3 linked regions of the Styela clava genome follow. The protein of the gene in region 1 purifies or fractionates together with the protein of each later gene. This does not show direct contact. Links are inferred from orthologs where the notes say so. Each region holds a gene or a part of one and is shown in the gene's direction. Other genes may lie near its edges.

Region 1 (3,758 bases):
ACTTCGACTTGCTGCTGAGTTTTTGAAACGTTTCTACAATACTCATGTGGAAAGCACCGTTGTAAGTTATCCTGACCCGACATGGGCAAATCATGATGCTATTTTTAGATACGCTGGGTTTACGGATCGCCGTAAATACAGATACTGGGATGCAAAGAACAGGTGCCTCGATTTAGCTGGTTTGAAAGAGGACTTGCTACAGCTTCCCGAGGTTTCTATCGTCATCCTTCATGCCTGTGCTCACAATCCCACTGGTGTAGACCCTACTCAAGAGCAATGGAAGGAGATAGCAGATGTTTGTAAACAAAAAAATCACTTTCCTGTATTCGATTCTGCTTATCAAGGATTTGCCACTGGTGATCCAGATGTTGACGCATGGAGTATTCGTCACTTTGAAAAATGTGGATTCGAGTTCTTTGTTTGTCAGTCATTTTCGAAAAATTTTGGTCTTTACAATGAAAGAGTCGGAAATCTCGCAATGGTGATGAAGGATCCAGATTCGCTGACACGTAGCAGATCTCAATTGGAGTTGATTATCAGAGGAATGTATTCAAACCCACCAAACCATGGTGCAAGGGTGGTTGCAACAGCACTATGTAATCCATCTTCATTGGGCGAATGGCATGATAACATTCGCACCATGTCAGCTCGAATTAAGCAAATGAGGAAATCTCTGCATGAAAAGCTAAAAATACTTGGCACTCCAGGAAATTGGGATCATATTGTTAATCAAATTGGAATGTTTAGCTATACAGGTCTCAACCAAGCTCAATGTGAATTCATGGTAAAACAGAAGCACATCTATCTGATGAAATCTGGGCGTATCAGCATGTGTGGTCTGACTGAAGGTAACATTGACTACTTCGCTCAGTCCCTGCATGAAGCTGTCACAAAGATCAATGAAAATAAACTGTAAATAGAACATGATTATGCATGAATAGTAATTGCCACGAATTTTTTTTTTTCAGTAGTATGACAATAATGTTTTTCGAGTTAGATTATTTTATATTTACTATAATTACTGTGATTATGTAAAAATTATTTTAAATCGTGAAAGTTTCACATCTAATAAAGTTCAATAGTGACTGAAATAACACTTGATACTTCATTGTTTTTACAGTCTGATGTTTCCACATGTTTTTGATAATAATATTGTATGTGACGGAAATTATGTTATTTTTATAATGCATTACTTAATTCGGTGCAAGTGTATAAATAAATGAGTTCCTGGTTATGAAATTAGTTTTGATTTTCTTTGTTTCATGACCCATTTGGGCAAGGTTTATTCTCTGCTAATTTCTATATATTCTCTCAAATACTATTTTCTTCGTAATTCAATTTTCATGCATAAATTCATTAAAGTGGTGTATAATAAGCTTTGAAGACACATATTTTTGTGTTTTTATATTCTATTGCATAATGGATCTTGTGTTATGTTTAGATATATAACTAGATATTCATTAGGATAGAAACCAAGTTGTATATTTACTGTGCATGGATGGCGTCCGCTGAACTGTTTGAAGATCCTTTTGACCCAACTGAATATGTTGAAAGACTGGCATGGAGAACACCCGGTGGGGGTACAAAAGGCGGAGCTCAAGGATTTAACCCTCGACTCTTGTATGATGAATTCGTGGCTCACATTAATGAACTGAAAATACTTGATGCTAGAATTCAGCAAAAAGCTGAGAAGTTGGACGTTGCTCTTGAAAAAGAATCGCGTTTACATAAAGATAGACTCATGGAGTTGCAAAAGAAAAATCAAGAGGCTTTTGGTCAGTTCCAGGCATTGGATGATCGAATTAATTACGTTGCTACCAAAGTAGTTCATCTCGGGGATCAGTTAGAAGGTGTAAATACACCTAGAGCACATGCTGCAGAAGCTCACCAACTCATGCAATATTTTGACGAGTTTTTGACCGGGAAACTCACATCTGAAGTCCTGACAAACCAGTATAGAGTGCGAGAGGCTGCTGAAATTGTACATAAGCTACATCTTATTGCGCAAGAATTACCATACGATAGGTTCTCTGAAGTGAAAGGCAGAATTGTTTCCAAGTACCATCAAATTGAAGAAGAATTAATTGATGAGTTCAAGGAAGCTCACAGGAATGGAGAAGTGAAAAAAATGCAAGAACTTGCATCTACGCTTTCTTTGTTTACAGGTTATCAACACTGTATTGATGCATTTATAGATGAAAATATAAAGAATGCATTCTACAACAAAAACGACATATTTAACGAAATATTAGACTTGTGTACAAAAGTCAGCAAGATCATTGCTGAAGTGTTTTCATCACCAGAACAAGTTATGGGCAAACTGTTGTCAAAAATATACCAAAGCAAACTCAAGGATCAAGTTGAAAAAAAGCTCAGTGAAAGTAGAACCACAGACCCTGAAAAGTATTTACAAAATCTCTATACACTATATTCAAAAACTGTAGAATTATCTCAAAAGCTTTCTCAATTTAAATTGGGTTCAGATTCTAATTTCATCACAAAATTGACGAACGGCATTTTCAAAAGTTATCTCGACTCTTACATCGATGTTGAAATAAAATTCCTAAAGGATAAAGCAATGATGATATCCCAACGTTTCTATGATTCAAAAGATCATGTAAAAAAACCTGTCGCGGCTGTATCTTCATTAAAAGCCGTCATTGCGGACAAAAGCAGAGGACATATTACATTTGGAATGAGTAGCAATGTTCCTGAAAATACCAGTGGAGAAACTTATCTTTCACAGGAATTGGCCATCAATCTGCTTCAAGAAACAAAAATGGCTTTTGCAAGATGCAGAGTTTTGTCAAGCTCATCTGTTTTGAGCAATAATTCTGTTCAGATCTTCAATCTATTGGTAGAATATTTATGTGATCAACACATCGGATATGCTATTGAATTGTGTTTACAGGGCATACCTACAGCTGAATGCAAAGCTGAACCTAATTTGTATTTTTTTGATGTCTCTCAACAAACAAACATCATTTTTCATCTTTTTGAAAAACAGTTCAGCGACACTCTTCTGCCTTTAATCAGTTCTTCTTCAAGATACGGTGAATGCATTCAGAGAAAGAAACAAATCCGTGAGCAAATGGAAGTTAAACTTGATTCTGGTATTGATCGCTGTCTTCAAGCTGCCATAGGATGGATGAAGACCATATTTAAAACTGAACAGAAAAAGAATGATTATTCGACTGATAAACCACCTGAGCGTCAATGTACGCAGGCATGTAACACAGTATGTGCGTATTTCAACAGAATCATGGATTATATCAGAAAATCTCTTGATGGAAACAATGTTGAAGCAGTTCTTGCAGAATATGGAAAAAGATTTCATCGCCTACTTTTTGAACATTTCCAGCTTTTCAGATTCAGTTTTATGGGGGGAATGATGGCAATTTGTGATATTAATGAATACAGGAAATGTGCAGAAAAGCTTTGTGTACCCTTCGTCACGAATTTGTTCGAAAGTTTACATTCCCTATGTAATCTATTAGTAGTTGCCCCAGAAAATTTAAGACAAGTTTGCACTGGTGAACAATTGTCAAATCTCGATCGCACTGTTTTACATTCATTTATTCAGCTTCGTTCAGATTACCGCTCTGCAAAACTAGACAAGCTCTTTGCTAACTAAATGAATCTCTTTCTTTTGTTCTCATGTATAAATAATATAGACTGTATCATTCTATTGTTCAAATTTAATATTACAAATCTTATATTATCCAGTACTGAGCTAAATAATAAAACTCCGAGTTTCT
Region 2 (3,758 bases), on another chromosome or scaffold:
ATTTAATTAAAAAAAAAAGGAAAAGGGGGATCATTGAATTATGAGATTTATATTCAAGTTTCCGAAACACAACAGAAAACTAACGATTAAAGTTCAAAAACGCGAAAACGAGGTAATGTTCACGGCCACGCTTGAAAATTTGTCTGAGTGAGAAAAGTGTCTGAGTGGAAGCGAAAAAGGAGCATTGTTACGTCACATTTGCATCTTGCTGATTAACCAATGTCTCAAAATTAATAAGGAAGTCGATGCTCGGGGAAAGGTTCGTACTTCACCATTCTGGCATTGCAAAATTTTTGAGACTGTAGTGATTCAGATTCAGATAGGCCTATTTATTTTTCGTCATGCACTGATCAATATAAAGCAAAAGAAAAACATAGTAAACTAAAAAAGGGGGTAACATTAATTCACAGCAGTTAACATGGTACCCTGTATCACGAAAGACTCACAGACTCAGTGAGTCATACAGTCAGCGACACTCAATGCTGTATTACTGGTATAGCAGCAAATTGAAGCAATCTGATAAAAAAGTTATCTCTATTTATATTATTTAGTTATCTCTAAATTACACAATCATGGGAAAACATCACAACAACAAATCGAATTACAAAATTAAGTCAGATAACAGCAAAATTTGGTTGGAACGAAATTCTGTAACGTTTAAAAATCATAACCCAAGTATAAATGTTATTATGAAAATTAGGAAATCAGTTGTAACAAGAAGAAATATAGAAAAAGTGAGAAAGGAATTTAGTTGTAGGCTATAAAAGAACTTGCCATGATAAAGTGATATGTAATAACTTGTGACTGATTATGGATAATTATTTTTTCATGCTAAATAATTGTATTCTTACGTAATTTGTATTACTACAGTACTAAATCGATTACGGAATTATCCTGATGTTACTAATGTCTGAATGTATATGTTTGTTCACTTTTTGTACACAATACTCAGTGTGTCTTTATTAATAATTATTTTATTTACTTATTGAACAATCCAACCATTAAAAAAGTTGCTTAAACCCTTTGTGAAAGCATGAAATCAGGAAGTGGACATAGACAAACATGATCAGAATTACCAAAGCTTGTTGCTTTGGTTTTCAAGAAAACCTGTTCATATTTTTAGATGATAAATATACGCTAATATCTTTTTTCTATGAAAGTATCTGTAGTATTGACATATATTTATTGATTGTGAGCCACAAACTGCTTCTTAGGCAGTTAGGCAACACACACTCTGACACCACTGCACCAGGACACTGTAAAAAATGGAGATTAGTGACACTGCCGAGGCGGCTGAATCTGAAGCACAAGCTAAGGCAATCCAGCAAGTTGCCAGCATGCTTCTTCGACCTGACCAGTTGGATAAAGTTGATCAATACAGACGAAGAACTGCAAGAAAAAAGGTTGAAAAATAAAACTTTCCTCTTACTAATTTATATATATATATGCATTTTGGTCTTCTTTTGATCAGTGTCTCACATTTTAAAATTGATTTAAAAGGTATTGCCCGATTTTACATAGTGTCTTTATGTTATTGTGTTCTTTTGACTGTTTTTGGACTGTGGACGAGCACATACTTGTACGTTTTTAACTTTTTTATTAAGTTATGTCTGTGTCCGTTCTCCAGGTCCTCTGCATTTTGTTTGTTCGTTTGTTGTTGTTTTGTTTCTTTCAGAGTGACCAAAATAAAATTGTTGAAATTGAATAAAAACTGAAATTGTAGTAATCTCAATTTTTAGGCATCGTTTGAGGCAAGATTAAAAGCAGCTGTCCAATCCCAATTAGATGGAGTGAAAGCAGGACTTTCACAATTAACAGAAGCATTAGAGGAAGTTAAAAATGTGAAAAAGAAAATGACTGAAGTTGATGAAATGTATTTGTCTTGTGGAACATTAAGCGATAAAATGAGGTTTGTTTGATTTCAATTGTTTATATGAGTTTACCTCGGCGGTGTGGCGCATCACGCTAAACGCTAGGAATACGCTCGCAACCACATCTCTGATTACCCTGCATGGGTTCGAATCCCATGCGAGGTTAATAATGTGCGAGAGGATTGCTGGACTTCTCGCCGTCGTAGGGTGGTTCATGTAACTACTGGTCGGTTACGGCTTTCTCCACAATCAAGTCCATGCATCTGAAAACAAATAACTGGCAAACTAATCCCATACCGGACATGGACTGCTAACCGGACGAGAGGTCGTGGTTCTCCATATGATTAATCCGTTATATCGGATTTCTTCTCCCCTAGGATAATTATGTAAATCCTATCCACTATGAATTGAGCAGATGCTGTGTGTTTGCAATACCAATTAGTTGTATTTTACTGTTCATTTTCATTCTATTTTCCCACATTTTCACAAATATATTCATGTATTTTTTGAGTAGCTATTATCACTGTTATTTGTAAATGTAGCTGAGGAGCTAGGTCACTGGTAGACTTTCAACTTTACATTAGAATGCCAGGAAGGGCGACTACCATGACCACCTTGAACCCTACATACTTTCGCTGACTTTTTTCATTCTAATTTATCTGTATATATCAGTTCTATAAGTACTTTGTTATTACCACGCTACCTATCTTGATACTGAAAATTCTATTTTGTATGGTGTGCTCTTCACTTAATTTTTATATGCGAACTTCCTATAATTATTTTATTTGTTGCGATGGCCTTGGGGTTCAAAGGTTAGACTTATAATTGTGTTTGTATCACCGGTTACACATTTCTGGTTTTATTAAACTCACGTCCACAAACTGGTCAATATAATGAATTGGGATTCTGGTTCCTTCGCAAAATAATAGCTTCTCACTCAGTGGCGATAACCCGACACCCTAAAAATGACCCTAAAACGGTGATTTTATAAAAATTCGCATATAAGCCCACCCTACAAATCGTACGCTCTCATCGTGAGAATTAAGTTAACATAATGTCATTTCGTTTGAGTGCAGTCAGAACTATGTGTGTATAAGCCGAATTTTTAGTGCGATCGGAGTTATGTGTGTATAAGCTGACCCCTTTGTTTGGTAACTTTTTTATTTGAGTTTTGAACTCATCTATATGCGAGGATATACGATAATTGCAATTTTCATTCAGTTCCTGGCTGTAATTGATTTTTCTAACTTCAGAGATATTAAAGATGTCAGTGCACAACATCGTCAACTTGCTGCTGCAATGGAAAATTTAAAACATATCTTTGCTGTTCCTGAAGAAGTTGAAAAAGCCAGAGTGATGATCAAAAATGGAGATTTATTGGAAGTATGTTTGTTTATGCATTGAAAGCATAGTTGTTAGAAATTAATACGAATCGACCATTCCCAGTGTACTATTAGCTATATTTCTTTTAAAGTAGCCTATACTACTCATAATTTGTTCCTAACAGCCAAACCTAAAAACGAACATAAGGTGGAAATCACAACTAAATACAGGTACGGCCTTGAAATAAGCTCAAAAGATTGCCCCTAATTGATAATGACAGCTGGTCAAAAAAGTTAACTCTGTGAAAAGCTGCCTTTGTTTTACTGTTGTTGTCAGTGTTCTTCGATAAATCCCTATATAGCCTAGCCTCATAGCGGAAGAAAAATTGAATTTTATATTTGCTTAATCGGAAGTCAAAATATTTTGTATTTTTTTACTTGTTTCGTTTCATGCTGCTGTTCCATTTGTATAAATTTGATTTATTTTTCCAGGCCCATAAATCTCTCACTGATCTGGAAACATCTCGTGATGATTTGTTATATGAACAACACAAGCTGGAAAACA
Region 3 (3,758 bases), about 6.3 Mb from region 1:
AGCAGCCATTTTTGGAAAAAGTCACTCAGAAGAAATTGTGACAAGACTTGCAAGCGATCAGCTGATACAGTTACTATGGTGACTATAATCGCCACCTAGTGAGCTCATGACGGAATAAAATCGGCCGACCTTTCACCCCAAAACGTTTAACTTCCCAGACTAAATTTTTACGTTTTGCATAGTCAGATACGGTAGTGATTTCCTTTGCGTATTTCAAAAGATTTTCGAGTGCATTGAATCGGTATATCAGTATATTGGTACGGTAAATCTTATTCATAAATTATATTTCAGTATTTGACGTTTTGAAGTCATCTGGAATAGATATGGAAAATTTATTCTATCTTAACGATTGTTAAATGAGTAGCTCATTTCAGTATTCACAAATAGCATTACCGGTACCGTATTATAAATTCCCTACCGTACTCAATTATTGAGTCATAATTCAGTACTGGTAATTGTTCTAACAGGACAGTAGGAGAGAGGGTTCAGGGTCCACGAAAATACAAAATATACAGGACAAAGGCTCAAAACAGGCAAACGATCACCCAAGTCTGCAAGTTGAGCAAGCTACAAAGTCAGAAAGTGGGTCTCATGTAGTTTCGTACCTAACATACTTCTAGTGGGCGTAGCATGACAATTTTTCCTCGTTTCAATCCTAACCCCCACCTGACTACACCATCCAAAAAGTACGTCATTACGACGTCACAGTGACGTAATAGAGCCCTTCAAACTATACGAACTGCCATCCAAGACGCGCAAACGAGCACACGAAATCGAACAGTTACTTCTCTCGTTTTCTCGTCGCAACGATTCCAATAGGAGCGAGATCGATAACATCAGTCAGTTCTTCATCGTCGATTCAATTTTTCGATGGCGTAGTCAGATGGGGGTTAGGATTGACATATCAAAAAATTGTTATGCTACGCCCACTAGAAGTACGTTAGGTACGAAACTACACGAGACCCCTACAAAGTATGTATACATCGTCATACTCATACCGGTACTCGCTCTTGTTTCTGTGTTTCCTCATCTTTGTATCATTTCTCGATTTTGAGGGCATGATTTCCTTTTAGACGACAGTTCTTATATTTTGGCATGCCTTATTTCGTCACTGTGATGTCGTAGTGACATAATTTTGGATGATTACGTATCCGTTTTGATATAAAATTGAGAACATAAATTTATTTTAAATGTTTCTTTATAGGACATTGATTTGTGCTTAATAACCATGCTCTATAGTTTACAAGCAGACAAGAGCGAAATACTTTATAATATAGTATCAGCAGCAAAATGTCAACATTTTTTGTAATATCGGCTTGATTTTTTAAGGGGGAGGTGCTATACGCAATCCTGGTTATGAAAAACAATTCCTAAGCACAATCTAGAAGTTTAGAACTCAAACACATGAATTTATTAGTTTAACTTACATTTCTCTTTTGCTCCTTCTAAAGTTCAAATTTCAAACAAGTAATCTTTATTTGACAATGTTTTAGCACTGTTATAAATAATTGTCATATTAGAATGGAAAGTGCTTCTCAACCTGTGCCTAAAAAGTCTACTGCTTTAGCAAAGACGATTGGACACAGAAACTTTGATCCAAAGCAATATGCAAAGAGCATCAGTGCCCAATCAGATGGAGATAAAGATCTACAGGAGCACAAACAGAGAGTACAGACATTGGGTGAAGAAACTGCTCATATTTTGAAGAAACAAGTCTATAAATACTATGAGCAATTCATTGAAACTGCAAAAGAAATTTCTTACGTTGAGGGTGAAATGTTTCAGCTCAATCATATATTAACAGAGCAAAAGAATCTTATGGATTCGATGGCAAATATTTTTCTTATAAAAGAACAGCCACAGTATGGTGCAAATGAAAAAAAAAGCAAAGAAAATATCAAAAAAGATGAGCAACGTAAAGTTATGAGATCTTTAGTAGAGAAAGTTCAAGGGTGTCCAGATATCACTGATGTTTCTACTAGATTTCTTATTCATGATGGTGATCTTTCAGAGCTTGATATGGATAATTTTTCTCCCATTCGTAAAGTTCATCTATTTCTTTTTAATGATGCGTTGATGGTGACAACCTGGGCTGGTTTAAGAAGAGGACAACCAGTCCCTGGTAAATATAAATTTGAATGTCTTTTTGATTTGGAAAATCTGGCCGTTATCAATGCTCGAGATGCTGGACCAGTCAAATGTGCTTTCAAGATTTTGATTTTTCCTGATTCCAATATGTTTCAATGTGAAAGTTCAAAGGAAAAAAGAGAATGGCTTGACATTTTAGAAGAAACAAAGAAAAAGTTTTTGGCAGACAGAGAACATAATTCCCCTGTGTCACCTACAACTCCTATGTCACCAAATTTAGATCCGTTTAATCCTTTTTCTGAATCGCCTGGTAAATCATCAGGGTCAAAAAAGATGGAAGGAAATGCATCACTGGATAATGATAAATTAAATGAGGTTTGGATTCAAGAAATGCCTGAAGATTTAGATGTTTACATTGCCCAGCGATATTTCAAAGAAGCTGTAGAATTAGTGTTAAAGACAAAAGCCTTTTTAGATGGCATTGGTGAAAGTGCAACAAAGAAAGAAGTCGATGCTAAGTTATCAGCAAGAACGTCTCAACTTGTGAGTGTGTTGACCAAAGAACTACAAACTGCTCCTGATCGAAGTCATCGTGGTGGTCCCAGAGCAGCACGGAATCCTGTTTTGCTTCTCATTAAGCTTGGGGAAAGTACCAAAGCCTGTCAGTTATTCCTACACAATCGCTCTAGTGCAGTTTCATATGCTCTTAAACAATTAAGAACGGAGGGATATCTTCAATTATACATTGCTAAAATGTGTAAAGTTTTTTTTAACAATCTAAAAGAAACACTCAAAGAATTTGAAACTGCTTTTAAAGATCATCCGGGTTGTTACTCTACTTTTGTCGTTTGGTCACAAACGGAGATTAAAGTATTTGTTGGAAAAATTTCGCAACAAGTTTTCACTAGAAAAGCTGATATTGCTGAAATAGGAGACTGCACAAAAACTGTGTTTTCTCAAAGCAAGGCTGTTCATATCATTGGATTAGATTTGGATTTTGCTGTTACTTCACTACTTGTACAAGACATTGAATCAACAATCATAGATCATAAGCAAAAATTGATTGATGCTATTAAGCTACGTAGCTCTGAAGAATTGTGGAAACCAACTAATGCTAAGACACCACAGGCTCTTTTGAAAATACAAGAAGAAATGACTGGATATGGAATTTTAAACATTGGTCAATATTGCTTTGATGATTGCTTCTGCTATCTCACACTTTCAACATTAGCTTTTACAAGAGCCATTGTTATTCATGTGGACAGTGTGATAAAAATGTACCTACCGGAAATTCAAAAACTTCTTCTTGATTCTGTTGAAGAAATCGAACGATGCTACACTGATTTTGTTGCTGGTTGTCTCCGCTGTGAACAGGAAAGACCTGAGAAAGCACGGCTCATCAAACGTAATGCCATGTTTGTTGCCGAGTCATTGTTGCCACTGATAGAAAACAAAATTCAAAAATGTGTTTTACAAATTCCTAAACAACTCACTGATCTGAGAAGAGATTTTATTAAACAAACTTCTAGTTAGTGGAGAACTTTTTTTTGCTTGAAAATTGTTCCAAATACTATGAAAGCTAGGTTGTATATTTTTTTACTTTGTATCATGCTCAAATTATTTCTATTATGCCTGATTCGCATTATAATATGATGGAAACTGTACAACTA

The links.
Region 2: the proteins of exocyst complex component 5-like (region 1) and exocyst complex component 3-like purify together in Homo sapiens (affinity purification with mass spectrometry; 7 studies listed by BioGRID and IntAct, counting the BioPlex papers as one, with this or other methods). This does not show direct contact. The link is inferred for Styela clava from reciprocal best matches to the Homo sapiens genes EXOC5 and EXOC3.
Region 3: the proteins of exocyst complex component 5-like (region 1) and exocyst complex component 8-like purify together in Homo sapiens (affinity purification with mass spectrometry; 5 studies listed by BioGRID and IntAct, counting the BioPlex papers as one, with this or other methods). This does not show direct contact. The link is inferred for Styela clava from reciprocal best matches to the Homo sapiens genes EXOC5 and EXOC8.

The regions. Positions count from the first base shown.
Region 1 is NC_135260.1:8,675,235-8,678,992, reverse strand, and holds the start of exocyst complex component 5-like, read left to right. Parts: upstream 1-1,498; coding exon 1,499-3,634; 3' UTR 3,635-3,758. Other genes in the region: aspartate aminotransferase, cytoplasmic-like, read left to right, coding at 1-916. UniProt on the Homo sapiens protein: Component of the exocyst complex involved in the docking of exocytic vesicles with fusion sites on the plasma membrane.
Region 2 is NC_135263.1:15,177,518-15,181,275, reverse strand, and holds the start of exocyst complex component 3-like, read left to right. Parts: upstream 1-1,102; 5' UTR 1,103-1,265; coding exon 1,266-1,403; intron 1,404-1,739; coding exon 1,740-1,909; intron 1,910-3,124; coding exon 3,125-3,254; intron 3,255-3,685; coding exon 3,686-3,758. UniProt on the Homo sapiens protein: Component of the exocyst complex involved in the docking of exocytic vesicles with fusion sites on the plasma membrane.
Region 3 is NC_135260.1:14,961,036-14,964,793, reverse strand, and holds the start of exocyst complex component 8-like, read left to right. Parts: upstream 1-1,473; 5' UTR 1,474-1,521; coding exon 1,522-3,621; 3' UTR 3,622-3,758. Other genes in the region: ciliary microtubule inner protein 1-like, read right to left, coding at 1-9. UniProt on the Homo sapiens protein: Component of the exocyst complex involved in the docking of exocytic vesicles with fusion sites on the plasma membrane.